7 separate regions of the Mus musculus genome follow, and regions 2, 3, 4, 5, 6 and 7 are each reported to be linked to region 1. The links are microRNA targets in miRTarBase. Many come from high-throughput screens and were not tested one by one. Region 1 holds a microRNA gene; each other region holds the end of a gene's coding sequence. Distances are between the middles of the regions.

Evidence for each region. Region 1 holds the annotated microRNA mmu-miR-181a-5p (AACAUUCAACGCUGUCGGUGAGU, at 2,435-2,457, shown strand). A microRNA usually pairs through its seed, bases 2 to 8, with sites in the 3' UTR of a target mRNA and lowers its output. Matches are read on the target gene's strand: a 7mer-m8 pairs with bases 2 to 8, a 7mer-A1 pairs with bases 2 to 7 and ends in A, and an 8mer does both.
Region 2: miRTarBase lists Lnpk as a target of mmu-miR-181a-5p. Seed matches in the 3' UTR shown: 7mer-m8 at 1,780-1,786 and 7mer-m8 at 3,552-3,558.
Region 3: the mRNA of Bend6 is a reported target of mmu-miR-181a-5p. The part of its 3' UTR that is shown has no 7-base or 8-base seed match.
Region 4: the mRNA of Dclk1 is a reported target of mmu-miR-181a-5p. Seed matches in the 3' UTR shown: 7mer-m8 at 803-809, 8mer at 2,041-2,048 and 7mer-A1 at 2,726-2,732.
Region 5: the mRNA of Med8 is a reported target of mmu-miR-181a-5p. Seed matches in the 3' UTR shown: 8mer at 1,198-1,205.
Region 6: miRTarBase lists Trp53inp2 as a target of mmu-miR-181a-5p. Seed matches in the 3' UTR shown: 7mer-m8 at 3,650-3,656.
Region 7: miRTarBase lists Rsbn1 as a target of mmu-miR-181a-5p. Seed matches in the 3' UTR shown: 7mer-m8 at 1,551-1,557.

What each region holds. Positions count from the first base shown.
Region 1 is chr1:137,964,034-137,968,380 of GRCm38, forward strand. It overlaps Mir181a-1 (microRNA 181a-1), which reads left to right and starts at 2,422; the gene lies at 2,422-2,508. It overlaps Mir181b-1 (microRNA 181b-1), which reads left to right and starts at 2,606; the gene lies at 2,606-2,685.
Region 2 is chr2:74,518,146-74,522,492 of GRCm38, reverse strand. Lnpk (lunapark, ER junction formation factor) reads left to right here. Exons shown (of 13, transcript NM_027133.3): 13 at 196-4,347. The coding sequence ends at 434. Among named protein-coding and RNA genes, the nearest start is that of Lnpk, 59 kb to the left of the region's middle.
Region 3 is chr1:33,849,858-33,854,204 of GRCm38, reverse strand. It overlaps Bend6 (BEN domain containing 6), which reads left to right. Exons shown (of 7, transcript NM_177235.3): 7 at 838-2,153. The coding sequence ends at 851. Among named protein-coding and RNA genes, the nearest start is that of Gm15455, 13 kb to the right of the region's middle.
Region 4 is chr3:55,533,205-55,537,551 of GRCm38, forward strand. Dclk1 (doublecortin-like kinase 1) reads left to right here. Exons shown (of 17, transcript NM_001195538.2): 17 at 366-4,347. The coding sequence ends at 530. Among named protein-coding and RNA genes, the nearest start is that of Gm31796, 8.0 kb to the right of the region's middle.
Region 5 is chr4:118,413,844-118,418,190 of GRCm38, forward strand. Med8 (mediator complex subunit 8) reads left to right here. Exons shown (of 7, transcript NM_020000.3): 6 at 1-32; 7 at 881-1,981. The coding sequence ends at 945. Among named protein-coding and RNA genes, the nearest start is that of Med8, 6.7 kb to the left of the region's middle.
Region 6 is chr2:155,386,123-155,390,469 of GRCm38, forward strand. It overlaps Trp53inp2 (transformation related protein 53 inducible nuclear protein 2), which reads left to right. Exons shown (of 4, transcript NM_178111.3): 3 at 1-47; 4 at 418-3,725. The coding sequence ends at 670. Among named protein-coding and RNA genes, the nearest start is that of Trp53inp2, 6.4 kb to the left of the region's middle.
Region 7 is chr3:103,962,100-103,966,446 of GRCm38, reverse strand. It overlaps Rsbn1 (rosbin, round spermatid basic protein 1), which reads right to left. Exons shown (of 8, transcript NM_001356556.1): 7 at 3,832-4,287; 8 at 1-1,873. The coding sequence ends at 3,835. It overlaps Phtf1os (putative homeodomain transcription factor 1, opposite strand), which reads left to right. Exons shown (of 1, transcript NR_030676.1): 1 at 1-1,911. Among named protein-coding and RNA genes, the nearest start is that of Phtf1, 4.0 kb to the left of the region's middle.

The DNA of each region.
Region 1 (4,347 bases):
AAAGTTTGCTTTGCTTAAAAGTGATATTTCATGTATTCTCTGACCCTCTTGCTCAAAGCAAAGAAATTGCTTTGGTTTATTTATGACCCGCTAACCTTAAGCAAAGCTGAACTTCTTAATGCTTCCAAAGCCCCGGGAGGAGAAATAAAAGCTAAAGTAAATTTGGCAATGGTGCAAGTCAGTTTTAACCTGTCCAGAAGACCTTCCAAAAATTATGAAGGGAGAATGGTTGCCTACGTGCACACAAATGACATATTTCTGGTGGCTCTTGATTCAGGAAAAACTGCAAGGAAGCAGATGGTTAACACCAATTTAGAATCCTGGAATCTTAACATTTTCTAAAAATAGTCAAATAAGACTCGACACCTGACAGAAAATGTAAAATTTCAATACTGTCCAACATTAATATTCCAGCCAATTATCAAATTTGGAAAATAACAGTGCAGACAAGGTTAGCTAGTAAAATAGTGATTGGAACCAGCATTGTAGAAAGCCGAGGAAAGGTAAGCTAAATCAGCAAGTAGACATCTTTCCCCTGTAGAATACCGTCCTGAAGTTATTCTCTTACTGTGAGGCAGGTGCAGCAAGAGCAGAGGTGCTTTTCCTCATGGAGAGTGAGTTTAAGTTATTGAGAGGTTTTTCTCATCAAAAACTATAGCCATGAGAAAAGTACATGTTTCATTGGATAAATAGGAGTTAAAATATGTCAGTGATGTGATGTTTAATCTAATTTCTTACTAAACACCAATCACTTTCAATCTCCTAAGAACTTCATGATAGTATTCTCCGTAATTTTATTCTAAGAATTTGAGAAATTTGGACTTATATTTTCTACAGAGAATTTTAGAAGGTTCTGGAAACCCCTCACATTGCGGTGCTTTGCTATTAATTGTGATTCGGATGGAAATTGCTTGATCGTAGTTCCAATTTTGTATATTGAGATAAGGCAATGATCATGGCTTAGAGTCTCAGCTCAGCAGCCTTGAAAAAATGATATCAAAAGCAATGACAGGTATGTATAGAAGCAATGGGATGCTGGCCTGAATATGATAGTGCAGTGGTCAAGCAAGGGAACATGAGCAACATGCATTCTGGTGAAACTGATAACACAGATGGTCCCAGGAAGACTTGCTTTCCTTCCACAAGAGACAGCCCTCTGCAGGAAAGCTATCTCAAAGGAAGCCACACAGGACTATTCAGATTCATCAGTTTTATGTCTTGTAACTATCTGAAGTCTGAATGCATGCCATCAGCAGATCGTTACCTTATCTACCTCAAAATACCAGCCAGAGACACTTGTCCTGTAATCTCTTCGTGTACAAGATAATAAATGATTACAGGTTTAGCATACAATATTCTAAGTAAATAAAATGAATATGTATAAAAATTTGGACTGAATGGTTCACCAATATTTTATTAATAGTTACACACACACACACACACACACACACACACACACACACACACACACACATATATATATATATATATATATATATATATATATATATATATATATACTTATTAAAGCCACTTAAGAGTCTACATAAGTATAATGTAGTAACTTTCTACCCTAGTTTTGAGGAGTACAAAGGGATTTTTGTTTAAGTTGATATTTGAAATCAGTTTTGAAGACATGCTCAATAGAGTTCATACTAACTTGTAAATGCACTTCATTTCAAGAACACCTAGGAAATGGATAGAAGTTACTGCCAGATCCACTCAATCAAAACAAATAACAATATTAGGATATAATAACCAAAGTGAGAGGAGTTGAATTTCAGGCAGTAGGCATAGGTTGTATTAATTTTCATTGTAGTTTAAAGTCTTGTGTCATAAGCAAAGAAAGATGTGCTAAATTGGTTTGATTCCTTGATTGTTTTAAAAATAAGTATGTTTAAAAGAAATTATACTAATTAAAATGCCTATTGTAAAATAAATGCTTATTCCATGCACATTGTAAACATAGAAGTTCAAAATTGTTAGCAATGTAACTTGAGAAAACCTAAGTGGTTTCTGCTTGATTCTGCATGACCTACATGCGTCCTTGCAGTTCTTATTATATACATACCAATATTTAAATTATGAGATACTTAGATACTATTTGTTTTGCTTTTTGATAGTTCCAATTTTGTTGAATGATAAATTCTCCCTGTCTTTAACAGCCTGTAACTAAGCTCCCCCCAAAAGGACTTTTCTTCCCTTTTGAAAAAAAAAAATCCGATTCTTTTCTTTGACACAGCACAAAGTGGAGGTTTGCCAAGCTCTGGGCTGGAGGAATCCTGCTTCTTTTCTTCTGTACTCTTTTGAAATGGTTTAAAATGTGTGACAGGTTTGGTTAAAGGATTGGGCTTTCCTCTGCCTCCCTCCTGCTCCAGACTCCCACAGATACTGTTTAAATCAGCACATCTCTGCCTCACAGGTTGCTTCAGTGAACATTCAACGCTGTCGGTGAGTTTGGAATTCAAATAAAAACCATCGACCGTTGATTGTACCCTATAGCTAACCATCATCTACTCCATGGCCCTCTGCGTTTGCTGAAGACAGAACCGCAAAGCAGGACCCGACAGGATTCTCCCCGCCTCTTCAGAGACTATGTTTACAAAGGTCACAATCAACATTCATTGCTGTCGGTGGGTTGAACTGTGTAGAAAAGCTCACTGAACAATGAATGCAACTGTGGCCCCGCTTTTTGCTGTCGCAATCAACAGACGTTCCCTCCCTAATAGAGGTCCTGGGGGTATTAACGCCGTTTCTCGGTTTAACTTCTGCTGTCTGAACTTTCAGGTTTGTTTATTCAATTCATATCAAGTCCTATTTCTGTGAGGAAGTCACTAATTTATATAAGAATACTGCTTTTCTATACTCCTGGGGGTTACAAATGGGGCATTTCTTAAAAATGCTAAAGTGTTGGATGCCCAGAATCAACTGTGTAGCCCTGGGTTGGCACGGCTTCCTGCTCTGCTGTGCTGGTGGGAGGAAGAACCAAAGAAATATCTTACTTCCTGCCCCGTTATCCGTCACATTGTTACACAGAAAATAACCATCCCCTCATCTTTCATTAGATTTCTTGGTCAAAATGGGCTTGAAGCAAGAGGGAATTCTTTTGCTCTGCATAAAGAATCGCTGAAATGGCTCTACTCTCTATGGAATTGGTAGGCAGAGGGATAGTACCTCAATAGCCAAGTACTTTGTTATCCAGGGGCTCATTATAATCATGCAATAGATTTGTTTCCCCAGAGAGACCTCAGATTTAAGATTATAGTTCATCATCTTTATTTACCCTCTACTTTCTTCTGAAATGGTAGACTTGATTCCAGGGACTGTCTTCAAGCAAGTGTGTGTGTGTGTGTGTGTGTGTGTGTGTGTGTGTGTGTGTGTGTGTGTTTCCTAACTAGTTTGGCTCTATAATTTCAAAAAGAACATCTGTCATTAAGGTTCATCACCTCCAATAGTAAGTACAGTGGTTGGAGTTAATATTTATAACAGGATGTTCAGCATACAGTGTGTACATGGTACCTAGTACATGGTACCTAATAGATTTTAATTCGTTGGGAAAAAATCTATCAAACATATTGTCCTTTCTCTCTCTTGATCAGTTTATTATGATATACATTCAACTCCCACTACAGAAATCCATTCCTGGGACCTTGCTCTAGTGTTCAGAATATTCATTCCCACAGTATTTTACGTAGTTAGTTCACAAGTGCCTGCCTTGCTTGGGGCATCTCTATCTATCATAACTCCTTTCTCCCACCGTCTGTTTCGTTCCATTTAACGTATGACAAGGCTCTAATCTCAACAAAAAACAAGAAGTTCAAAAAAAAGTTTCTATTCCTGCTTCATTCACTGAACAGCCCCCTTCTTTTTTCTATCTTAAAAAGCTATGAGTTTGGAAACGTCACTTAATTAGTAACCTGCAGAAGAGTCTCTATTTGTGTGTTCTCTCATTACTTCTCTTCAGCCCACAATTTGACATCTTGAAACATTGCTCTCTCCCAATTGTGCAGATTTTTTTTTAATGGAAGCTGGTCTTGGTGAAACCAAATCACCAGTATTATTCCACCCCTGGTAGCAAACTTCCTACTCTTCTTCCATAAAATCATTCCCTTTAAGTTCCATATTTAAGTGGATCCTGCGGCACTGGCCTCTATTTCATTGATTATAAATTCATCCAGGTATATATTTGTTGATAAACTTTTCTAAGCCTGGATAGTATTTCATTTCATATGTGTATTTGTGTGTGTATGTGTGTGTGTGTGTATTCGTATATATGCTAAGGTAATGGAGATATGTAGATATATAGGTATATGTGTGTGTATACATATATGTGTATATATATATGTG
Region 2 (4,347 bases), not on the chromosome of region 1:
AGTATGGGTTTATTTCCTTCAGTTATTTAGTTATACTAATTCTCTAAGTGCTATGCAATAGAGTGAAAATTAAAAGGTAATGTTAGACCATTCTGTCGTTTCTTAGTATGTTTGTATGTTTATCTTTGGCTTGTCTTATTTAGCAGTTTTGACATTTAGATATCCCTGAAATCTTATGTCTTTTTCTCTTTTCAGACTCTTTAGAAGAACAAGATGTTCTTGATAATAGTACTGAGCAGAGAGATGACAAAATACCAGTTACAGAGCAGACAAGCCAAGTGATTGAAAAAACATCTGGTCCAGAGGAGCCAGCAGAGAACCAAGAAGAGACTGAGAACGAGGAAACCTCAACAAACGAAGCCAAGTCACCTGTTCTCAGAGCTGATTCTGTTCCTAATCTTGAACCAAGTGAAGAATCTTTGGTGACAAAGTAGTAAATACTTCCATGTGCCTTCAACTGGATATTTGTAGTCTTGTTGATGTTAGTTACTGCTTTTTTTTTTTTTTTTGTGGTACTCAAGAAAAATTTGCCTTCTAGATATACGCTTAATATTATTCATATTCAGATTGCCCAGCAAGTTCAGTGTATCCAAGTACTACCACTAGGTATTGACAGTAAAAGCACGTGGTATCAGTTAATATGCAGAGGCATAGCTGTGCATTCTAAAGTTAAAAAAATGTTTTTTACATGTATAACTTGTAAATAATACCCACTTTGACATAGGAACAAATTTGGCTAGGAATAATTTCTTCCATAGTATTTAAGGGTTGAAACATAATTAAGATTTTGAATACTTCATCATTAAATTTTAACTTTGGAGATATTTGCCAGTGGGAAGGAAATATCTGTTTAGGTGTTTACACCAAGTAATGCTGAAAGCTGTAACCTTAATTACATACGCATTGGTACGAATTCTCAGTAAGAATGCAACTAAACAGTCAAGTGCAGTATTTCTCTTGATGTCTTTTATTTTACAACTGGGCCAAAGGCACATAATGTATATAGTTAATGTTTACATAGTAATAGGAAATACATCTGCACTTGACTGTACTTGAATTCTTGGTATTATTTATATTTGTAATATAATGATGATATATAAATGGTTTTTGTGTGTGTGTGTGTGTTTTGTTAAGGAAAATAAAGATGACCTGGCAGCGTTTTTCTTTGTTAAATATCTAGACTTCCTCACATAGTATGTTGATGGATGACTTGGCTATCTGAAAAATACCTTGGTAGGGAAAACTCACTGTATGAAAACTATATAGCAAATTATGATGTTTTTCTTTTCATTTAGACTTTCAAAATCAGTGACATAAGAGGTTTAGTGTTTCTAATCAGAAGTTAAATTTTTTCTGATTTTGAAACATATTATGGCATAGGTAGTTTTTAACTTTGAGAGACAAATAAATGCATTTTTAAAGATAAGACAGTTAAATTTAATGAAACTCACTAGACTGAGTATGTATACCAAGTATCAGGTGGGAAGATTTTTGATGTAGACTAGTTATTCTTAAACACAATATGATTATTTGTTCTAGTTTCCTTTTATGTGTCTTATGTTGAAACAACTGAAGTGAATTTACATCATAGGGGAGACATGTTACGATAGTGTTTCTGGCTAATCCTTTAGCTATCAAATGTTTAAATATACTTATTATCATTTAAAAGTTTATATTTATGAGTAATACCTCATCTGACATATATAAAAGAACCCAGTTTGTTAATATTCTGAGGCATTTTAGTGTAGTGCCTGTAATTGAAGCATGTGGAACTGGACTTGAATGTCAGCTTTGCAATCGTGGGCATTTCACCTAACCTCTCTGCATTTATTTAAGCTGTAAAATGAAAAGAATAATATGTTTTCCATAGGTACTGGGAAGTTAAAAATAAGTTATATGATGTGCCTAGCTTTCTTGCTAGATAATTAATTAATAGGTATTAGGTTACATGGTAGAATTTATTGGTATTATTGAAACCCTTGTGAAATATGGAAGGACCGTAGATCCTTTCTTTGGTAGATAATGAAATTAAAGAAAACTATGAGCATTCAATTTATTTGTTCTGAACAGAAATTTTCTGCATTAATGTCATATGCACGTGTCAATGATAGATTAAAGAAATGGAGAACTGAAACTAGAATATAATCTTTTTATAAAAAGATGTGTTTATTTTTATTTTATGAGTATAAATGTTTGACTTGCATAAATGTCTGTGTCCAACATGTCTTGACAGGTATCTGTAGAGGTCAGATACCTGGGTCATTTGAAATGATAGTTACAGATGGCTGTGAGCTGCCACGTGGGTGCTAGGGATCAAACTTGGCTTAGTCACTACGCCATTTTTCCAGCTTCATATAACCTTTTTTTGTTTGTAAATTTTACAAGGGGTGTGTGTGTGTGTGTTTGTGTGTGTGTTAGTAGCACCATATTAAGTCTTGTTAAAACATCTGATATGCACTGCTCAAAAATGAGTACCTCAGAGAAATGGGATTTAATGAAGAAACCAAGAAGATATTATAAAAACATCCCCCAAAAGGAATATAAAGGGGGAGCTAGAGAGGTGTCTCAGTGTTAAGAATGGGAACTGCTCTTACAGAATGCCAGAGTGTGCTTTTCAGCTCCCAGCTTGGGTGGCTTGCTCCCTCCTGTAGCTCTAGATCCAGCAGAATTGATGGCTTCTCCCTGGCCTCCTAGGACACTAGCCTAATGTGTACTCTCTTCCCCACAGATACACATAGTTAAAAATAAAAATCCAAATCTTAAAAGGAGCTTAGTAAAATTAACACAACAGGTGGGTAATTGTTGGTGTATTTTAAAACAAAATATTATTCTGATATAGTAGACAATGTCTGAAGTGAATGAGACTCCACATTTCTGATTATTAAGATTAGTGTAAATGAGGGAGAACTTCCCTGTTCACAAATGCTCAGCATGTCATTGTTTAATGTCCCTCTCACTGTGTCCTCAGTGTGGCCTGAAGACAGGGCTTAGCTTCTCTCTCTGTCTTTCCTACCCACACCTTTCTACTGTAGCTATAGGACTCTCGCTCAGTTCTGTGGCTATGCTTTGCCTTTTCTGCCTCAATGTCAGCTTCATTTTTCTCTGACAGAGAGAGCCTCCTCTTCTCTCTGTCTGAAGCTAACCCTTTTAGTCCTGTATCAGGTCACTTTGTCTTTGCTCTGAATTCTTACTGCAGGGTATCTTGTTTTCCCTCAACTGTCTTCACAATTTGCTTTTCTTCTGTCTGTATGTGGAGTGCCTGCTCATTTTTCATGTGGATAACGTACCAGATCCAGGGACTGCTCAGTGCTTAACTCATGCGCTTGCTTGGCAGATTGACTTGGCTGAGTGTTCTTTTTCTGAGACACCTTTATCCTTTAGGTTCTGCATGTGCACTGCTGTTACCTTCCCTGGCTTCTTGTTTTCAGCATCCTTTGAAGACTTCCTCTGCCATCTTTAAATGTTGATGCTCTCTGGCTTCCAGCTATTGTCAGTTCTTATTCTGTGCATTCATTCTCAAGCCCAGGGACTTAATAGTTACTGTCTGTCTATGAATGTCAGAGCTTAGTGTGGTCTGTTTCTTTGCCTTCGTAGCTATGTATTTACGCACCTACTGCCATGGCATAGTGAAGTCAGTATTTCTTTAAAAAACAAAACAAAACAAAAAACAAAAACCCCTACTTATTCAAACTTGTGTGTCATTTCACCAAATACCATCAGTATTAAAACCAGAATTTAAAATATATTCCCTCTTTCCCTCTGACTTTAAAGTATTCATTCCCAGTTTCTTCCCCCACATCCCCAGTAGAATATTGCAATATAGCCCAGCCTGGCTTGGCTTTGTGACTTGAGGCCTCAGATTCCTAGGTGCTGGAATCATTCTATGAGTTGCTGTGCCTTGCTCTCCTCTAAACATTTTACACTTATATTATTTTTCTATTTCTTTTGAATTATATTAATGATAAATCTGCATTGTTCCACCAAACAAATGCTACCTGCTGTATGTATGTGTGCTTACACACAATTTTGTTTTTGGGGGGAACAGTCCTGTGGAGATTTTGTATCTTGAGTATGGGAAAGAAACAGGATGTAGAAAGACTAAGCAGCCTTCCTAGAGGTCTCTATTGGTGTGTGGAAACGTCTGAGATCTGACTGTAAGCAGATCACTTGTGATGCCGTTGGCATTGAAGCCACAGCCTCATACATGCTAAGCCCTGCTCTGAGCTGAACTGTTTCTTCCACTCCCAAGGCCTTACTGTTAATCATCATTGTATTACCTTCTAATTCCTGCCTCTGTCACCTCACGGGATGAAAGCTACCTTTTAAACTCTGTCTGCGATCATGCTG
Region 3 (4,347 bases), 100 Mb from region 1:
CTAACACCAGGAAAACCTTTTCCCTCAGAGCTGTAACATTTTCCATGGAGATGGGCTAGAAGTGTGCTGAAGGGGTCCACATGAGGAAAACCAGATGTTCCACCAGGATCCACTTAGTCCCCTTGGAATGGGGGCAGAGAGGGAGGAGAAGCCGTAGCCCATAGTCTGCTACAGAGCTGGGAATTAGACTTGGGAGTTGGATATGGAAGAGAGGAAGGATCTGAAGTTGGTCTGCCTGCTTCCGTGGCAGAGGCCAGCGGTTCCCACTGAGTGTCTGAGGGAGCTAAAGGCTGACACTCTGTAGGAGAAGGTCTGTGTGATCTGCTGGAGGTGGGGAAAAGGGGAAGGGAGGCCACAGCAGATGGTTGGCTCCAGAGCTGTGGAGGAGACTGAGGGATTGGATTTGGAGAAGGGAAGGGAAGGGAAGCTCTGAAGGTCACCTCCCTACCTCCCTCTCTTCTGGGCTTTGAGTCAGGTAAGCCAGGTTTGAGGACCTGCTAGCCAATAGGCAACCAATAAACCTCACTGAAGAATGTTATACAGATGGGTGATAATTTTTTTCAAATGCTTGATTGACATGGGGGGGGGGGCTCATTTTACCTTGTTTTAAAATTTAGCTAATACAATTCATTATTTCAAATAAAAATTTGAAAATTAAAAATAAAATTAATTAATAAAATAAATGAGATAAATAAATAATTGTTTAAAAATTTTTTTAAAGTACTTTAACTGTTTTTTTTTTTATGCTGGATTCCTCTACATTACAAAGCAATTCATGGGACGTCTTAATAGCTACAGCTCCTTCCTTTAATACAAGTTTGCTTTTTTATTTTATAGGTATCTTAAAATAAAACATGCTTGGTTTTCCGTCAAACATTGGAATTTGCTGGAGAACTTGAGACACATCAAGGACTGGCTGTAGTAGCCATGGCTTTCCTGGTGGAGTAATGGACTGGCTGAAGCTGCATGCAGAGCCCTTACTAATTAACCAGAGAATGTCTGTCAAACAAGCATGCAATATGGTTTCTTTGGAAATATGCATCTTTCACAGCCCCGAATACTTCCCTGTAAACTAACTTAAGATGATATCAGCTCTTGTCATAGCAACACAAACATCCACCCTCCAGATCAGTCGTTGTCTTCAACAAACACTTCAAATTATTACTATCAGTGACTCCTCATTATGGCTTTTGTTTGGTGGGGAGGGGCTTTAGCAAGCTCCTGTTTGGTAAGAATACAATTGAAATAATACACGTCTACCAATACCATGGCTAACCAAGTAATGATGACTTAACGTTAAACCGTTTGAGTTATTCTGTGATCCAAAAATGTGTGAAATAGGATTCTAGAAAAAAACCAAAAACATAAATGCCTTTTCCGTATTCAGTTATCCCAACATGCCCCTGAAAGTCTAAAATCCCATCTTTGTTTGTTAATTCCATGCGCTGATTTTTATAATAGTCTCTTAGTCTATGAGGAAGACACACCCCTCGGTATCCATTGTCCAGAACATACTAGATTCAGATGTGTAATAGTAGATAAATCACCTAAAGCGCACGTAGGACATGATATCGTGCCTGGTCAGCCATGATGCTAAACTGCTTAATTTTGACCTGTTTATTTCCACTGTAGCAGAAGGAAAATTAACTGGAATAAAAATACCAATTTAACTATGGCATGGAAAATGCCATTTTGTAAATCAACAAAAAATAAAACATTCTTCAAAGACTTCTCACTTCATAAAAGGTCCCCTGACTACTTTGCAATGAGAAGCTATGCCTTTCTCTTTTTCTCCCCACGCCTTCCTTTCCCCTCTGAGACAGGGCTTCTCTGTGTAACCCTGGTTATCCTGGAGCTCACTCTGTAGACCAGGCAGGGCTCACACTCAGAGATCCACCTGCCTCTGCCTCCAAAGTTCTGGGATTAATGGTGTGCATCACCATGCCCAGCAAACCTCTGCTTCTTGAGTGTGTAACGTGACATTGAAGCTTGGGAAGGAGGATTTTAAAGTGCAGTGCAGGGGACCCAGGGACTACACTGTACAGGCTGCTTGGTTAATAGTTCAGTTGTACAAAACAAATACTCACAATGAAGTGAATTGTGTGACATTTGCTACTTTTAATTAAATAAAATTTAACTCCATTGAAAACTAATGCACTTTCTTATGGTTCACTTTGTTTTATAATGTATTCTATTCCAGGCATAAAAAAATTTTTTTTTCCTAGGGAGAGGCTTCCTCAACACATTGAGACATTCTCGTCTTCACCAAGAGCCTCTCCTGACCTTTTATGGTGCCAAGCCTCAGCTGCCTTCCGTGACACTGTGGAGAGCAGAGGAAGCTGTGAGTGTGTAAGGAGTATGAGAGTCCTGAATGTGTAAGGAGTGTGAGTCCTGGGTGTATAAGGAGTGTGTGAACTCCTGAGTGTGTAAGCAGTGTTAGTCCTGAGTGTGTGAGAAGTGTGTGAGTCCTGAATGTGTAAGGAGTGTGTGAACTCTTGGGTAGACAAGGAGTGTGTGAACTCATGAGTGTGTAAAGAGTGTGTGAGGAGTGAGTGAGTTCTGAGTGTATAAGCAGTGTGTGAACTCCTGAGTGTGTAAGGAGTGGGTGAATGCTGAGTTTGTGAACTCCTGAGTGTATAAGGAGTGTGAGTTCTGAGTGTGTATGCAATGTGTGAACTCCTGAGTATGTAGAGTGGGTGAGTCCTGAGTATGTAAGGACTGGGTGAAGTCCCCAGTAAATGTGAATTATTGACAAGGATCTCTGCCTCATACCCATGGGAATTGGCAAAACCTTCCTACTAGTAAGGCTCAAAGATGTGACAAAACCTTCCTCTAACCCTAACACAGTCTTTATGAACTATTATGTGCAAAAACAAACAAACAACAAAAACTAGCAACTGCAGCTTACTCCTCTCAGGTGACTGCAACCTGAGACTGATTCCCTACAGAGAACCCCAACAGAAGCTAGCTGTGCATAATAAACACGCTGAGGTGCGTGTGTGCACGTGTGCGTGCGTGTGTACGCACGCGCGCACACACACACACACACCAATCCCGGCTTTTCCATACCTGTGTACCTTCTTCATTCCCTTGAGGCCCAAGTCAGGCTTTCAGGATCAATCCATGTTTGTCACAGTAATAACCCCCTCGTGCCTTCAGAACCAGTACCACCTGGGAGACTCTTGCAGATTACCAAGTTTGGCTGCCAGAACAAGGTACAGCCTTGGTCCCACTGGGCCACAGCTTCTGTGTACCAATACTGAGGAAACACTCTAAGATTTGTGATCCTCATTGATGTTGTCTCTTCTTTTGTTTAAGACTTATTTATTATTTATTTTATGCACATGAGTATACCACCATTGCTCTCTTCAGACACACCAGAAGAGGGTGTCAGACCCCATTACAGGTGGTTGTGAGCCACCATGTGGTTGCTGGGAATAGAACTCAGACCTCTGGAAGAGCAGTCAGTGCTTTTAACCACTGAGCCATCTCTCCAGCCCCCTGTTGGTTTCTTCTTAATCAATGATTTCTTAGGTCCAGCTAAGTAGCATCAATTGCCCCCAGCAAAGCAAAGGTTTCAATTTAGTGGTTCTGCTCCTTTGTTAACCACAGACAGTTCTTCAGCCCCAACTGACCAGAACCACACATTCTTACTTGAAAATATCACAGGAGTGACTCTGATAGAGTCTTTGAAGAACTCTCACACTCTAAGACTGCACAAGCCAGGTCTCCCTTCTCCAAGTGGTTCTCAGCCTCTCTTCCAGGTTCCCAGGACAGCCGGGTAAGCTTTGAGTATTAACAGCTTTTTCAGCCCAGCGCTCTGAAGTCCTTCAATAATCCCTCCCAACATGATTAAGTCCATTAGAGCAATATCTTATGAACCCAATACCAATTTCTGTCTTAGGGATTCTACTGATGTGAGAAAACACCATGACCAGAAACAACTAGAGGAGTTAAGAGTTCATTTCAACTTACAGTTGTTGTAGTCCATGGTCAGAATGTGGTCCAGGAATGGAGCCAAGTGAGGAGAATTCTAGGTGCTTATGAGTGTGCCCCAAGAAAACAAGAGTCCTGTGACCTCAGCTTCTTCCAAACATGGAATTGTGTTTTCCTCTTCCAGCCAAGTGTAGCCAATAAAAGTGAGTTACTTTGATTACTCATTATTGCTGGCTGTTGTTACCCAATTAAATGTTTAAACTATCCTTTATGTTCCTCTATGGGAAAACATGTTTTTGCCATGTGCAGCTTGTCCTTGTGATTGTATGCAGCTTGAACTCATGAGGACTTTACTCATGCGACTCTTCTTAACCCTCAGGGTACAAATTGTCTGATGCTCTGAATAAAGTT
Region 4 (4,347 bases), not on the chromosome of region 1:
AGAGCTTGTGACTCTGTTTCCAACTCTGACAACTTTATCACCCTTTGGCTCTATTATCCCTGTGCCCTAAGCTGCTTGTTGGCCAACATGACCCAAGGAGCTTTCTTACCTGTCACACACAAAAGACTGAAGCTCCGTTTAATGTGGGGTGAGAGATAACTGGTGGCACTGGGTAGGTTGCTGCCTGCGACATTGCCTGCACCTGTTGGCTTCATGGGCAAGGATGATGACTGTTGACATAAGCAAGTCATGAGGGGCAGGTTAACCTGGCCAGCCGGCATAGTTTCCAACTGCAAACTGTCTAGAGTCTCTCTGCCATGTCCCTTGGCCTAATTGTCCTCTTTCTCATTTTATGCCCCTGCTAGACCACCGCTCTTGATAAGGAGAGGCAGGTTTTCCGACGAAGACGCAACCAGGATGTGAGGAGCCGGTACAAGGCGCAGCCAGCTCCACCGGAATTGAACTCGGAATCGGAGGACTACTCCCCCAGCTCCTCTGAGACTGTTCGCTCCCCCAATTCGCCCTTTTAATAAGACCCTTTTACTCGAAGTCCTAGCTTAACCCTTTAAGACTCTGAGATTTCCCCCTCCCTCCCCAAACTTCTGTAAAACAGGTTCATCTGATCTATCTAGCACTCAGTGCTGACCGGCAGAACAGAAAGTGTGTTTTGGGTACCTTTGTAGCAAGTTCCCTTTACTGAATGAGAAGGCATGTGGTGTTTGTGACAATGGTAATTTGCTGCTAATTGGGGTCCTTAAAGGGTTAAGGCTAATTTGCGATTTTTTTTTTAACATAGAAGTAATGAATGTTTTCATCAGTCAAACTAGGATCTGCAGTATGTAACATAGCACATGTTAGCCCTCTGAGTGCATAGAATTTTCTTGAGAATCCTTGCTGGGGAATTTTTCAGGCCTTGAATATCTTCACACATATTTCTTGATTTTACTGCAGACCAAGGGGCGTCATAAGACCCAAAAAATGTCCACACAAGAAGAGTATAGAGGATGACACACTGCCAATCCTTCTCTGTGGGTTTAGAAAATGACAGATTTTATAGCATCAGCAGATGCACCCATCTTTTCTTAAGCATCTTAGGAAGAAGGGAAGTCCCTGTCCCTACGTAGTAAGCTGGTTAGCTGCAGAGACTTCTCTGCTTTGATTGGAGAGAACTGGGTCTGTGGCAGCCTAACCCTAGAGATTGACAGTGTCTCTCCCTGTCTCCATACAAAGATGTGCTGAAGACGCCCCTGCCACGCTGCTTGCCCATTACCTGCTGCTAGTGCCAGGCAGACCCTCGGGGAACCACCTAGCCTTGGCTTGTGCTTGGTGAGTTGGGATCTGTCTGCTCAGGATCAGAAGAGCTCAAGAAACCACTGGTAAAAAGAGCAATAAATTACCAGGTGCTCTACAGGGCTGGGAATCCAACCAGCAAGGGAAAGCAAGGCTCTGTGTTGTTTTTGTTTTGTTTTGTTTTTCTCAGCTGCTTTTACACAGGACCGTAGCCACCAGTGTGAAACCAACACAGAATGGAAAAGATCTGGGGCAAGAGGCTAGTGCTTTGCAAAGAGGCAGAAGGGAAAGTTCAGAGGAAACACAATCCAAAAGGTTCTAAAACGGGATTCATAGAAACAAACCGATTCCATGGTAACTCTAGGTACCAGGAAGTCAGTACCAGCAAGTCTCCCAGAAGATACCTTGGCGGCTGAAGCCGCCACTCCCGTTCATGATTTTCTTTACTTTAGTGTGGTCTCCAGTCCTCCAGGGGGGATGTGTTGCTTTTCTGGTCTGGGGCCAAAGCCTGCCTGGGGTTGGTTTTTCACTCCTGTTACACAGTCCGTCTCCCAGGCCTGAGTTTCTTAGGGAGCCGATTGTGTTTCAGAAGGTGGGCTTGTGCTTCTCCGCTACATCCGTGCTCCAGAGGATTGCAGGAGGCAAGACCCAACTCAAACATTGCCCTAATGTTTTCTCAGCTTTGACTCAGGAGAGAACAATTTTACACTCCAGGACGGCAACAGGCCCCTTACTTGCTCATTCTTGCTTTGAATGTATTTTAATGTCTTGAAAGTTATGAACAATCTTCCCAGAGTCAGGTCTTTATTTTCGAACTCTACACTGATCTGCAGCTGCTGTGTTTATACATAGTCATAGGTTCTGCACATTCATAGATTTTTAAATGACAGAATCCCACATTTCCTGCTCTTCCACATTTAAATATAACATTTATTTAGTTTTTCTTTTCCTTTTTGGGAGTCCAGAAATGATACACATAAAATCACAAAATGGTATAAATCTGTACATTATTTGAATTGGGTGTTGGGACTAAGGACAGGGCACAGACCACCAGAAACGGTGTCAGAGTTCATATCGGTAAAAGACTAGAACTGGTCCGAAATCACTACTTTCTGTGGAACAGAAAAGCAAAGCGCTATTCTAATCAGCAAGTGATGGCATCACTGAGCTTCAACTCCACGTGTGTGACTATAAAACACCCTGTGGCCAAGAGCAGATTGCCACTTCCCTTTCTCTGAATTACTGCTTTCCCCGGTCATTAACGTATGGCCACAGCATCCTGGGGTACAGGCCCACAGTGCAAGGCTCTGGAACATTTCCATCAACATTATCTCATCAGGTTGCAGAAGAGCAGCTCAGAATTCAGAGCCCAGGCAGAAGGGTGATCACAGCACATCCCTATAGAATTTCAGTGATCTACGCTGAATAAATAGTGGAATGTAACCTGTCAAGTAGAAATATTGAGCAATCAGATGGAATGCAGTAATTCAGTAATCTTGCCAGCGTCAAGCTACCAAGATCTTAGATGTCAGAGTTGTAACTCAGAGGGTGAACAGACAAGCACAGGCTGCTGACTTGGTGCATCCAGACCGCTTTGCTTCTACCCAGTACAAATATCCTCCCTTCAACATTCTCAGAATAGCTCCAGTTTGAAATAATTAAGTGGTGGTGTTCTTTGAATTTCTATAACCAAATCGATCTTATTTTTTGTTTGGTGTATCATAGAACAACTATGTGCCATCATGGCTGTGTATCGCTGTAATTATCCACTGAACCATCATGACTGTTTCCATATTTTTGCATATTGAATATAACTCTTATGGTGGTAGTCTGGTGATGGGAACTGCCCTTCCTTTACTAGCAAGACCAGTCTTATGGTATTGAAAGGATTCTTTCAGTCTGAGAGTAGAGTAGTTGAACACTCCTTCATTACTTGCTTCCTGTAAATCAATTCTGTAGATGAGACCCATTTAATGAATACATTTTCCCCCCCTCCACATTGTAGAAGGAACCACTTTATTTGTCATGATCAATAAATGTGTGAATTGTTCCAAACCATTAGAAGGAAAAGGTACGGTCTTCAGTCCCTGGAAATGTTCTGGCTGTCGTCTTCACCTGACTCACACGTGGTGTGTATTAACTTAAGTCGAGGGGAAATAAGAATAAACAGCGGAAAACACTTGATGCTTTGCGTTCGCCGAGACTTCCCTGCATGCAGTCTGCTGGGCCCCCTTATGAGTGGTGGTTAACAGACCTGTCACATAGCGTTGAGAGAGAACAGTATATCTGTGAATGAAGGCTAAAATTGCAATCCTTTACCCTTTGAGGCATATTTCAGTTGAAAAAAACAACAGGAAAGAAAAATTGTCTCAGAGGGCCACCGAGCTACCGAATCACCAGGACTCAAGCCCGTTAAATCATGGTTGTTTGCTGGCCAAAGGCATGGGCTAGACAACTCTATCCCCCGTGCTGAAGTGCAGTTGTGCTGAGAGGGAATCGTCTCCACATTACTGCACTGCCTCTAGTCCTTCTCTGGGTAAAGCCCTGTCAGTGTTTCCATGATAAACTTCTATTCTGGAAGGTTTTTAATTTGACCATAAAAATGTGCCTCAGGCTGAAGTTTGCTAGTCAGGGCCTGTGCTGAAGAGTGAGGGGGGCACATCTCACCCTTCTCCACTCCCGAGGAAAAGTCAACACAGAGACGTCTGGTACGTTGCCTTCATTGTGATCCCAGAGTCTTGGAATGCACCAAGATCCAAGATGGTAATTTTAACATAATTATTCAATTATTCATTTGGATATGTTCTTTTCAAATTGGCTCACCTAACACATATCATAAAATAATTTTTATTATTTTAACTTGTTAATTACTATATGATTGTCTCTCTGTGTCTGTCTGTCTGTCTCTCTCTCTCTCTTTCTCTGCCCCCCCCCCCCACACACACACACACTTCTCCCTCTGTCCAAAGATTTTAAGAACTTGAACTTGATCAGCTCAAAGGTCCACTTTTCCCATGAGCTACCTGCTACTTCCATTGGAAATTCGCACAAAGAACT
Region 5 (4,347 bases), not on the chromosome of region 1:
TGGAGTTCAGATGGCTCAGGCAGGTCAACCAGGTAAGGTGACATGGACTGAGTGCACAGGAGTGTGGGAATGAGCTAGATCATCTAAGCCTCCTTCATCTGCACCCTCCCCTTAGACCTGGAGATTTGCCTCCTTTGCTTTGTCACCTCGAAAACAGTTGAAAGCTCTGCAACATGTACCAGTGCGTGATGAAGGACCCTGAGTAGCAGCAGCTGGTGTGGCTGTTTACGTCCATCGCAGACTTTGCCTCACCTGTCCTGTTGATTCTGGGTGTCAGTGTGTTAGAGAAATGAGAGGCCAGCCCTTAGTCAAGACCGTTCGGTAGATAATCGCAGATTAACAAGCTGGCAGTTCTGCGGACCTTCATGGGTCCTTCCCCGCACCCTGGCCCTAGCTCCCTGCCCTCTCTCACGCTCGTTTTTATTTCCTGTGAGAGCAGTCTGGTGGGGTTCATGGAAGCAGTTCATGCGGGTAGGCTGTCTAGGGAGAAGTACATCTGAAACAACTGAGAACACAGTACCTCTGCCCTGAAACAACTGAGAACACAGTACCTCTGCCCTGAAACAACTGAGAACATAGTACTCCTTCCCTGGGACCTTAAACGGGGGCCACACGGCTTACCTGTCCTTTCTGGAAGTAGATGAGCAGAAAGAAGACCATCCTAGGGGAGAAGGCTGTTCAGACCCCTCCTCTTTTCTTTCAAATCGTCCCCTTTCCCTAGCTGTCTTCAGTCAGGGAAGCAGGAAGAACTGCAGCCTGTAGTAATCTCTGTCATCCAGAGTCAGAGGCCACAGAGGCTCTGAGATAGACTGAAAGGCTGCATTTCTGATTTATTGTGAAAGTTCACCTTGCTTCAGATCTCTCTTTCTGTTATTTTTAGGGAAAATGCCAAGTGGAATAAAAACCAACATCAAGTCAGCTTCAATGCATCCGTACCAGCGGTGAGTGTGGACGGCAGCCTCCACTCTCAGGTGATCTGTGCTGAGTTGAGCAATGACATGATTTTTTGCTCAAGGCTTATTTAGATGGGGACAATAAAAAGAACACAGGCTTTCAGCAAGAGACAGATCTCAGCTCCACTGTGAATAGCCATTCGAACTTGGGAAAGTGACCTAATATTTCTGAGCCTGTGTTCTCATTTGTAGATGGTGATAATACCTACCTCGTAGGGTTGTTGTGAGGATTAAAATGAGAAAATGAATGTAAAACACTTAGCATGGTGTATGCAATTCTGGGTCTTGAATAAATGATAGTTTCCTACCTTTCAACCCTGCCATTCCTTGTCCTATATGCAGAACTTATTGTGATTTGGTTCATCTCCATGACACCAGTGAGCCAATGGGCCCAGGATCAAGTTATCCATGGTGGCCTGTATGTGTTGGGGGCATACTGTCTCTGCAGGCCCTCCTGCCCAAGTACGGCCTGCTGGCCCTAAAAGCTACAGGTGAGGAGGTTTCTGGAGGACACTGGCCACTTCCAGGTGTGATGAGACCAGCTCAGCATTTCCCTGGGAAATAGGTAAACATGCCCATCTTTTAGCCTCCTGTGCTGCTAAAGATGCCCAGGGTCCAGCAGGTGGAAGAGCTCTTAAGAGGGACTCTGGCAGGCAACAGCACGGAGAATACTGTCTTCCTCCGTGGAGGGCAGTTGTGTTTTATAGTGCCGTGGGTTGGGGTTCATTTGTCTGCACAGTGACGACTCCCTGTCTCTGTCCTCTTCCATCTCACTGAACGTGTGGCTCAGATAAGATCTGGATTGAAAGTGGGAAGGGCAGCAGCTCCATTCATATTGCCTGCTTTTGTAGAGTTGACGAACAGTGGAGTTTTGGACAGCCAGGCCTGTTGCCTTTCTCAGCGTTCTTTTCTGGGCAAGGGCAGAGATTGAGTCAGCAGAATTGGGCCAAAGGGTTTCTTTGTTTAATAAAGATATTTAAATTATGTTCCCTGGCTCAGGGTTGTCTGACTAAAGTTTATGAGCTATCTACCAGGCAGTTCTAATTTGTTTTCCTTAAAGTAGTCCCTTATCTTTAATTTTCTTTAAAAACCCTAAGACTTCCAGCTGCACCGTTTGTATTCTCTTGTGTTACACACTAGGGCTTTGGCCTTTGGTCTGTCTGACAGCATTCTACCAGGCTGTGGCAGCAAAGGCCTGGAAAAGTGGTCCTCTGGTGCTGGTCTGTGAAGATGTGAATGGTGTTGACAGCTAATTGACCACAGCACAGCACACCAGGGGAGTCCTGCCCTGTGCTCTGAAGCAATGCCAAACCTTTCCCCCACTTGAATAGGCTGGCCCATCAGCCCATCCAGGTGTTTGTTTCCACATCTCGTCCCTTCCCACTAAATGTCAACGCTACCTGGGGTATTGAGTAGAGCTCTAGCTGGGCTTTTCAGACTCTCGGTATCTTCAGGTGACTTCTCTTCTTTACTCCACCTGTTACCAATCCCAAGAGTCTTTGCTGTCCCAGCTGAACTGACTTCATTCCCACCATACTATTGAAATGGGCTCCCTGTCCTCCAAGAACAGGAATATCTTCCTTCCGCAGGAGGAGCACATTCAGGCCCTCACCTACATGGCATGCCCTTAAGCAAACCCTCAGTGGTGGGTGGCACCCACACCTCTCAGTTGCTCTGGTAGCTGTCATTTCCACCACCCCCTCCCTTTAGAACTTTAGCATACAAATCTGTCGCCTCCCACTTGGGGGCTCATGTACCAGTTTGCCCACAATGGAAAAGCGTATCTGGAACCCCTACTATACTTGGAGTATGTGGAGGTGCCTGTGAAAAACGAGAGCTGCTTACTTGCGCAGATTGGGGTTTGTAAAAAGATGACTTGCACTCTCCAGCATTCCTGTCTCTGACAGTCTTCTGCTTAGGGACTGTACTTTCTACTGCACTGGGGTCCCTTAGATGGACAGAGGTCTTTCCCATTGTCTCCCAGGCTTGTTTCTGGGGTGGAGAAAGCAGCAAGTGTGAACCTTCGAGTGCTTCCCACAGGGGTTCATCCCACTGAAGGTGGAAGCTTATGGAATCAATGTCAAGTCCCACAGAGGTTGCCCAAGACTTCTTCCCTCTAGTGCTGTCCTGAGGCTGGGATTCAGTCATTACTGATTGCCCTGGTCACCTTGTTCTTTTTCTTCTTCCAGTGTGAATTGCTGGCCTACTTAGCTGGCTCACGACACTCAACTGTACCTTTGGGGAGCAACAGCTAAGATAGGTAGGTTGTACCCAGATGTTCCTTGTGGCTCTCTGGCGTGCCAGCATTGGGTACAGGCTAGAGAGGCTGTGATTGCTTGCCCACCTCTTACCCTGCTGCTAAAAGGAAGAAGCTGAACTCTGTAGGAATGCCCCAATGTGAGGCCGAGCCCGTTCCCCACCCCTACACACCTCCCCCAAGCAGCTGGAAACAACCTCCCCCTTTGTCTGAGTTTCTTGTACAGAATAATCCTCCTTCTGGACAATGTATTCTCTGTGTCCTGTGGACACAGGAGCCGTGTGAGCTGATCCCAGCGCTAGGCAGGACGGGGGCTGAATCCTCCAAACGCCCACCCTGGTCAGCTCCGGATGAATGTCCAGTGCAGCTACTAAGGGTTGGACATTTTTTTCCAATGTGCTCCAGATCTGAGTGGCAGGAGAGCCTTTTGTGGTTTAGCCCTGGCCAGTTGTATGAGCAGGAAGCAGGAGTTGTGTTTCCTCTTCTGGCCTGCCCTGTGCGCTTAAGCACCAGCTTGCAGAAGTTTGATGTGACTCTTTCCTCAAAGTTGAGAGTGGATGGGTCGAGTGCTTGGAAAGTGGTAGGAGCGGGAAGTGACTTGTGTGGCAGGCCATGGTGCTCCATCCTGTCACATGGACATCAACCTGCACTCTACTCCACCGGACAAACTTATCTCATTAGCAATCTGTTCCTGACTCGAGTGTGTCACTGAGGCAGAGCCCGGGTTCCTCTAACAGGGTCTCTTGTTAAGAGTCATCTGCTGCCGAGTGTGGTGGCGCACGCCTTTAATCCCAGCACTTGGGAGGCAGAGGCAGGCGGATTTCTGAGTTCGAGGCCAGCCTGGTCTACAGAGTGAGTTCCAGGACAGCCAGGGCAACACAGAGAAACCCTGTCTTGAAAAACCAAAAAAAAAAAAAAAAAGTCACCTGCCTTCAGAATATGACTTGGGTACATACGCTTCCCAGGAGGCAGGTGTGGACCACGGCTGTTGAGTTCCTCGGGCCTCCCTTACATCACATCCGAATGACCCCAGTGATCTTTCTACTGGAGAGTCTGACGTTAAGTCTCTCCAGCCCACTTGTACAGGTTTTCTCTCCTGTTTGCTTTTCTTTACTGCAAAGCTCTACTACATGTATA
Region 6 (4,347 bases), not on the chromosome of region 1:
TCCCCTCACCCTGAAGCTGCCTTGCCTGATCAGGACCTCAGCGATGGGTGAGTGGGTTGAGGGTGGAGACTGGAGGCTAGGGTCTAGGAGACTAGCAGGGGCGTGTCCTTGGGATAAAGGGCTGAAGGAAAAGAGGCGTGGTCTTGTGGCTAAGGTGGGGCTTGGGAGAGCCCTGGCTCAGAGGATTGGGAGGGACCAGCCTGATCTGCCAGACAGAATCAGAGTAGGACTTGTATTGGGGGGTCAGGGTTTTTTCCCTGTTCTGCCTAGTTACCTGTGCCAGGTGCTTAATCACAACTCTAATTGTGATTAAAGGAAGAATTTGTACCCCTCAGTGGTCTGCCCCGCAGAAATAGGGTGTGGGATGCCAACCCTGATCTCTTCCCTCTCTGACAGAGTTGTACTCTGTTTCTGCAGAGAGCTGGCGCCTGCCCTCCGGGAACCCAGGGCCTTGCACCACGCAGCTGCTCCTATGCCCGCTCGAGCTGTGCTGCTGGAGAAGGCTGGCCAGGTGCGGAGGCTGCAGAGAGCCCGACAGCGGGCTGAGCGCCACACATTGAGTGCTAAAGTGTTGCAACGGCAGAATCGCGCCCGGGAGAGCCGTTCGCGCCGGCCCAAGCACCAGGGCAGCTTTATTTACCAGCCGTGCCAGCGCCAGTTCAACTACTGAGCGCCCCTGCTGCACCGCGAATCCCTCGCCGACTCCTGGTCCCATCCGCCTCCTCTGCAGCAGCCAGTGTGCTGCTCGAGGGTGTTGGGGGGTCCACCCGCCTCCATCTGGATACTACAACCTCCCTCCTTCCTAAGTTTTGAGGTGGGGTGATGGCCCTCTACTTCCCTGTTTATAGTCTAACTCACCTATTAACCTCTCTCATCCTGGGTCATCCTCCCTCCTTTCTCAGTGTCTGATTCTCCACCCTCACACTCCCCACACCCACTCTCCCATGCTTCTTTTTAGGACCTCTATTCTTGTCTCTCGCCCCTTCACCTTTTCCCTCTTAGCCCACCCGATTCCTAAGACCCTGACTTGGCACCTTCTCCGCTTCAGCTCCTACTTTCCAAGACTTACTCTTCTGTTTGGGATCGCTCCCACTCTTGTTCCCTTTTTTTCATTCCTGGCAATTCCCTCCCAATCCTGCAGGTGCAACCTGCCAGGCCTGGGCCATTGTCCTCATCCTGTAGTCAGGGATCAGGCATGGGTTTTGATTTCAGTTTTCCCCCTTTCTCTGCCCTGGGGGCTGGGCTCCTTATTGCTGCTTAGGCCTAGAAAGTTTAAGTATGTGGAAGAGGAGAGTGAGTTGTAAGTTAGATAAGGTGAAGGGAATGGAGGGAAACAGGCAGCCTAGTGGGGGCCGCAGATGGGGACAGGTGGGTTGAGAAGTAGCAGGGAGCAGGGCATCTTGGGAGCTGGTATTGTGCTTGGTCAGAGTAGCTAAGCCCTGGTCTTAGGCCTGAGCCTGGAGTCTGCCCCCATTTCCTTTTCCTATAATCCTGCCTTCCAGGGTTCCCCCCTCCCTGAAATTTGTCCTTCAGGAGTAACCCCTACCCACCCCTGTCCCTGTGAGTCTGGAGTCCGAAGGGCTTGTACCTTGTCACCTTACCTTGTCATGCCACCCCAGGAGTAGAAGCTGGGTAAGGCCCCATCATCCTGACCATCTCTGTTCATATGCCCAAGGTGCTAGAATTAGCTTAGGAGAGATGCAGGCCAGAGGATTTCCAGGCAGGGAAAAGGAAACACACCCCAAGGCAAGAATGAGGAGGCATGATGCTAAGGAGGACAACTATGAGGTAAAGCCATCCCCAGACTGACAGCTCTGCCTTTATCTTGCCTCTGGCCTTATATTTCATACTTTGTTCAATATGGCTGGATAATAAACACTCCTGGGTAGAGGAGGCCAGGAGCCTCACTGTCCCAATTCCCAAATTTTTCTTACAGAGATTCAGGGCCTTCAAGAGTCTTCTTAATGTTCTCCCACAGGGCTCTTTCTGAGTGCCCTATAATCCCTCCCCCCTTTCTAATTCAATATCTGGAGTAAGGAATTCTTGGGTAGGGCACAGGGATGGGGTTGCCAGCTTCTTCTTTCTTGTGGTGGGGCTCAGACACCAGCAACAGCCTCTTGGGATGCCCCAAGTTGTTTCCGGTTCTTTCTAGCTGTCCTTTTTAAAGTGTGTGCTCTTCCTTCCTTAAAACCTTTAGATGTCCTGTTACACTAACACAGGTCTTCCCTTCCCTCCAACCCCAGGTTTCAGGTCTCAGAGCCAAGCCAGGGTTGGAGAAAACTGCATTCCTACGAGGGTAAAAGTAGCTGCCCTCTTTGATCCTTTCTTACTAGGCTTCATGTGGGATGGGAGAGGATGTCCCCAGGATGGGGACAGAGGAAGCCCTGCTAGGGTCTCCTAGCCCAGTAAGCCAAATGGGAACTATAAGCAGATCAAAATTTTACACTAGCTTATTAGAGCCCTATTAGTTCCTGTCCCAAGTTCTTCAGTTACAACCTAGTAGTATACTTACTCTTCCAACTGTCCTAAGGTCACTTCCCAGCCAGCTTAGGATCTTCAGCATTTTTAAGAGCTGAAGCTCCCTCTTGCCCTTCTTGTCTACTCCTCACTGCCAGTTGGGGCCTAGGCTTAGTCCTGGGCAAATGTCCATGATCTTGCTGCTGTAGGAAGCTTGATAGGGCATTTGGCTCAAATTTCAGAAGGCCTCGCTCCTGACCTAATTTCTCAAAGCTCCGGTAGTTCTAGACCCCTCCAATTTCTCATCTGGTTGCAAGGCTTATTTTTCTTTTGTACTTTCCTATAGATGCTATAGCATTTGAGTGTGGCAATATTTTTGTTGTGTATAGATGTCTAAGAACCAACACTACTCAGTCTCCTGCTAGTCTGACTCCTGAAGCATCAGACCCTGTCATACTGTATTGACTGTGTATGTGCCTTTCACCTTGAGCATGCTTCAGGAATTTTTTTTTTTCTTAAACCACAGAACTTGAATACACAAGGGAACCAGAATTCACAAAGTCCTATGCAACCCTAGACAGGAGGAGGTTAGAGAGTCTGTCTTGATTTGTGGTTTCAGAGACCCTAGAGAAATTTGTACCAGTTTGTATTAAAGTCAGTACTACCAGCACTTTGCCAAAACTACGGATGTCAGAGGGACCTGTTTCTAGAGTGAGTCCCAATTACATCAAAGGGCAACCTGCGCTTTCTCCAATAAGTCTGAGTGGTTCTCTTGAGCTGGTGTCACTTTCTAACCTTTGCCAGTCTAGCCCCAGCAGGGCACCGTGTGTGTGAGTGTGGTTTGGTGCTGTTTTGGAGTGTGCCTGCCCCCCAGCCTGGAACCCTCTGATCAACTTGCTGGGACCTATAACGTCTTAGGTGCAACAAGGACCCTACCAGAGCTCCTGGGTGGCTTTGTGTGAGGGGACTGAACGCAGACAAACCACAGCCTGCTTCTAATACCTTCTTTCCCTACCACCTAGTTCCAAATGGAACCAACAAGTTGAGTGCATCTCTGTTGGGTGTTTTGTGTTGAGACTGGCTGAAGTGAAGAATCTTTGACTGACCATGTTGTGATGTGTCGACAGACTCAAGGACACAACCACCTCGACCTGGTCATGTGGCATGCCTGTGTATGTGTGTAACAGGATTCTGAATGTTAGGTTGTAATGCTATTCCTGTATGGGAGAAAAAATAATATAAACAAATAAAAATCTATTTAAAGCACATTATGCTTTCTGCCTCAGCTGAGCTAAAGTATGAGAAACACTATAATTTCAAGTATCATCAAGGCAGAGGATACTATTATTAGGCTAATCTTCGTTCTCCTTTGTCATATAAGAAAGCAAGAGGACAAATAGTTCACTAGAAAAGGACAATATAGGGTCTGACTCATAAATATTTTTAGAAGATCCTTATAAGGCACATATATGAAGATACCTGGATACAGAAATGAGAAAGCACAGCAAACACTGGTCCACTCTTTAGTCCCAAGCACTGGGCTATGACAAGGTCCAAGAGCTACCTAGTTAACTGTAGAACTGTGTTAAGTGCATCTCCTGATGGAGCAGCACAAGCATTGCGTGGGAGGAAGCACCATCTGTGTTGCTGACAGCCTCTCACCTCTAAAACCTTTGATGGAAGGCTGGTTCTACTTTCTGAGACAAAGTCCAACCTGGCCTCGAACTCTTTCTGTAGCCGAGGGTGACCTTGAACTTGTGATTCTTATGCCTCTACATCCCAAGCACTATGATTACAAGTGTATACCACCATACTTGGTGATTATTTTCAGACAAACCAAGTTAGTGCACGCGCGCACACACACACATACACACACACACACACACACAC
Region 7 (4,347 bases), not on the chromosome of region 1:
AGACTATCCATTAAAAACCTTTTAAAACACTTGTTAATGTCAATAAACAAACTAAGGCCACACAAACGCAAATAGTCCGCCAGGCAAATTAAACATTTCATCTATATGCAAAGACCTCTTAGATAAATTAAAGCCACAGGAAAAAAAGTCTTAGCTGCCAATCAAAATGAAGTTTAGTCACAGAAAACACTATTACATGAAAATTTACAACGTGTGATAGTATTACATAAGTATTTCTTTAGAGAGAATTGAAAAGTGCTATATTTTAAGAGACGGTGGTCTCAACTACATGCACAAGTGGATCCTAAAAAATGTATGGAGATTTTTTAAATGGAAGGCCATAATGTTTATGGATACTTGCTTTTAAAGCAACAGACTTCCAGGACGAGGATAAGTCCTTTATGCACTTAAGAAAAACACTGGTGATGTGTATCTCCTCTACTTGCATGACCAGTAAATACGGCTACAGACTGTCTTGAAACATGAAACTTAGCACAAATGTGAGCCTCTGGCATGTGCTACTGAAAGGATGAAACAGATTTATTAGAAAAACACAAACTCAGTAATCCTAATTATCTTTAATAGATGCAAATAAATTTAAAAGGCAAATACAGATGAAAATATAATGGGCTAATATTAATGATAAAGGATATATTCACTAGGAACATATTTTCGTGGATTTTGGAGTCTTGTTCCTATATTAACTTTCCTTCTAGACAATATTTATACAGGGGAAAAAAAGCACTAAGCAAAAGTTTCTCAAGTCATTAGGTGAGATCTTTATGCCTGTTAAGACTGATATATCATTTCCTAAAGTTTAGCAAATTATTTAAAATAAGCTCTTTTCCCCATACAAGAGCTTGTAGTATTTGTGAACTAATAGTCCGACTGTTTCTGAGGGCGCAGGGCACTTTCCAAAAGTCTTAGAGTAAAAATCATGTAAAACTGTAAGTACTGAATAAGCAAAGTACAATTAAGACTAAGAATTCATTTCTCAAGAGTTAAACTTTGGAAGAGGGAACCAATATAAAGGTTATTATTATTGCTTTATGAATTTGGGACATCTCTCAGAATCGTAACCCTAACTCTTATCCTATCTTGATAATTATAGAATGACCTCTGGGACAGGGGAAGACTTATTCTTTTTAATGGTTACCATAAAATCATTCTATTTGCTGTTAGGAATATTTAATTTACTAGGTTCTTTCGATTAGCATATTTTAAAAATATCCCTCTGATCCATAAACTACTAAAACTTATAGCCACATTCTGCAAGTAATCTCAAGGGCTGGCACAATAGATAACATACCAGAAAGGAAGATCAGCTTCAATTTCAGTTACAACTTCACTGCCATCGCTATTTTACAAATCAGAGGATACCAGACCATGCCTCACTCCACCAACCAAATAGTTTAATGATTTAGAAAACTTGCGATCATTTGTATCACTCAACTAGGACACAGTTTTGAAAGCAGCAGGAAACTCGAAGCTTCTGCTTTTATATTCATCAGTCTTTAAAGCATGCTATCAAAATCTAATACTCACGTAGGACATTCAGGATTTCCAGGTACATTACTAGCTAAATGTGTCTTTCCATTCTATTGCAATCTAATATACAATGACTTCATTAGTACATGATTTTCAACATTTTTATATTCTTTTAATATGTTTATACTGGAAGTGAGGGTAGAATGCTTTGTAAAAGGAAAATGGAGATTTGCGTTTGATTGTAGGTCTTTGCAGATCCGCTGGTTCCTGAGTGATTGCACAGTGCTGGCTGTCAGGAGACAGTCTCCTTGTGTATTAGTAATGACCAGCTTAGATGACAGGATGGCATCTGCTGGATGGCAAGTGGGAGGTGGGGAAATCGGATCTTGGAAGACAAGAAAAACAAAATAAAACTTTTTGCGTTAACAACTTTTTCTCTTCATGATTATTTTTAAAAGCAAATGTTGCCTGAGAAGAATTTTTCTTTGCACAGCCTGGTAAAGCTCTATGAAATTCTTCTGGACAGAAAAAAATAAAAATAAGAAATAACCCAAACCCATTCATTTTGTGATATGCCCCTTTTCTCCACAAAATAACAACAAAAAATACCCTCAAAGGTCCCTTAAAAACTAGTTTGATAAACTAGAATTTACCCTAGAATTTATACACAGGATTTAAAAACACCCCTGTAATAATCACATTACCTTTCATACCATTCTAATTACCTTATTTACAAAGATAACTAAAAGCAACATCACTTCCAATTCATAAATGGTTTACATTGAAGTGTTTCCCTATTTATTTGTCTTCATCCTTTGTAACAGAGAATACACACATATACATATATATAAGGAATAATACAGATTCTAACTAATCACTGTAGTATTTGCTGATGGTTACTTTTCTATCGGTTTACACAGTGACCTCTATACTTTGCTAATATGCATTTAACTACACAACAATATTGCACAAAGTAATATTTATATAAGATTTAACCTATTTCAGAATATTTTAGAGAAAATTCATATTTGATATTTCCAAAGATGCAGCGAAGTTTCCATGGTGACAGACATAACAAAGCAGCATCTTTTTCTTTCGCCTATGTTAATGCAAATAACTCAAATCTCACCATCCAGGAAAAAAAAATCAAATTGCACTGTAACCAGGTAGATACAAGAATCTGGTCTCAGGTGTGGAGAGTACTCTTCCTTTAGTAAACAAAAGGCCTACCAAGTTGATAACTAGAGAAAGGATAATGCATAGCACATGAACATTCCAAAATAAGAGCCACACTACTTGGATGAAGGAGGTCTGTTTGAAAAAGGGAAAACAAAGTAAATATCCAGACACTAAGTTTCAGCCTACCTGAAACTAGGATGGAAGTCTAATGCCTGCTATTAGAAAATAGCAACACTGAATAACAATGAACAAACCCAGGTATTATTAGCCTGATAAAATTGTAAAGTGTTTTCAAAAGTAGATGCCAAGTCACAAGAATAGTTTCTCCTTAGTTTGATGCTCAGCTGTGGCAGCCCTCATCAGTAAGACTGGTGCAGTTCTCTAACTTTGATATGAGGATACTAGGAAGCACAACAGGTCAGCATTATCTCTCCTCCTCAAAACAGCCTGTATAGTTAGTAAATATCCTAGAAAAGATCAATGAACCATGGATCATGTATAGCCAATGTTTAGATTTTTGTTTGTCATCTTTAGAGGTTTGTTTAATTGAAGTAGCCACTGGGTTTTAAATAACAGACACAAAAAGACGGCCTGGATCAGAGAATGCTGTGTTTCCTCTTTTGCTGAAAACCAGAAGCCAGAGAGTTTTCTTTAGAGACCATGTCTTCTTTGTGGTTAGAACTAAACAACTCACTTGTCCATGTACCAGATGCAGGAGCCTTTCCTGCAACCAAATATCATTTTACTGTGGAAACTAACGAGGTGCCATGAAGACACAAGTATTAAACCATAAATCTGCTTTCTACCACATAAAGCAAATATGGCAAGAGACAAGGAAAGATAAAATCAAGGGAAGTAAATACCAAGTAAGAACCTGCTATTCCAGAGAATTCTTTTTTTGATTTGAAGAAGAGATTGAATTGTAACCTCACACCTTAAAACAGAAAGTAGCAGCAGACCCACTATTACATACTGTACTAACGATACAACTCTTAGCTTTGCATAATCTGTGTAAAAAAGATATGCTTGACATTTGTGGAATGTCATTTCTCTTTATAGAATTATAGGCAAGATTTCTCCAATAAAACTTAACTTAAGCCAGTTATAAAACTATAACTTCACATCAAAATTTAAAAAAGTTAAAAAATGTGTTTGAATATGTACATGTCACACAGGAGTGCTTGGATGTGCCTGCAGACTGTGTTGCTGGTCAGAGTCCAGTCTGCTCTCCACCTTGAAAACTGGAAGAGGCTGAGTCTTCAGATCCTGTAGATGAAGTTCTGATGGAGGTGGGAAAGACGGTGAAGCAGTTGTCAAAAGCTGCATCTCTGTGCATCTTTCCTCAGATTCAGTTTTTATTCTCACACACTGGGAGTCAACTTCTAAACCACAATCCATGTTGGAATTGCTCTCTGTGTTTTGAGCGGTTTCCACAACAGGGTGGTATTGTTTAAGCCTTATATGCCAGGCTAGGCTGCATACTGCTGACACTGTTTTGAACTGATGAATGACATTTCTAGGGATGAAGTAGATATCATTGTCGCAAAGCTGAATTCTAGCATAGCGAATGCCTTCTCGCCTCATTTGGTTTAGTTTTGCTTCATCCACCCACTGTACACACTAAAAAGAAAGGCAAAAAATTACATAAAGCCTTAAAATGTAATGATTCAAACAAAATAT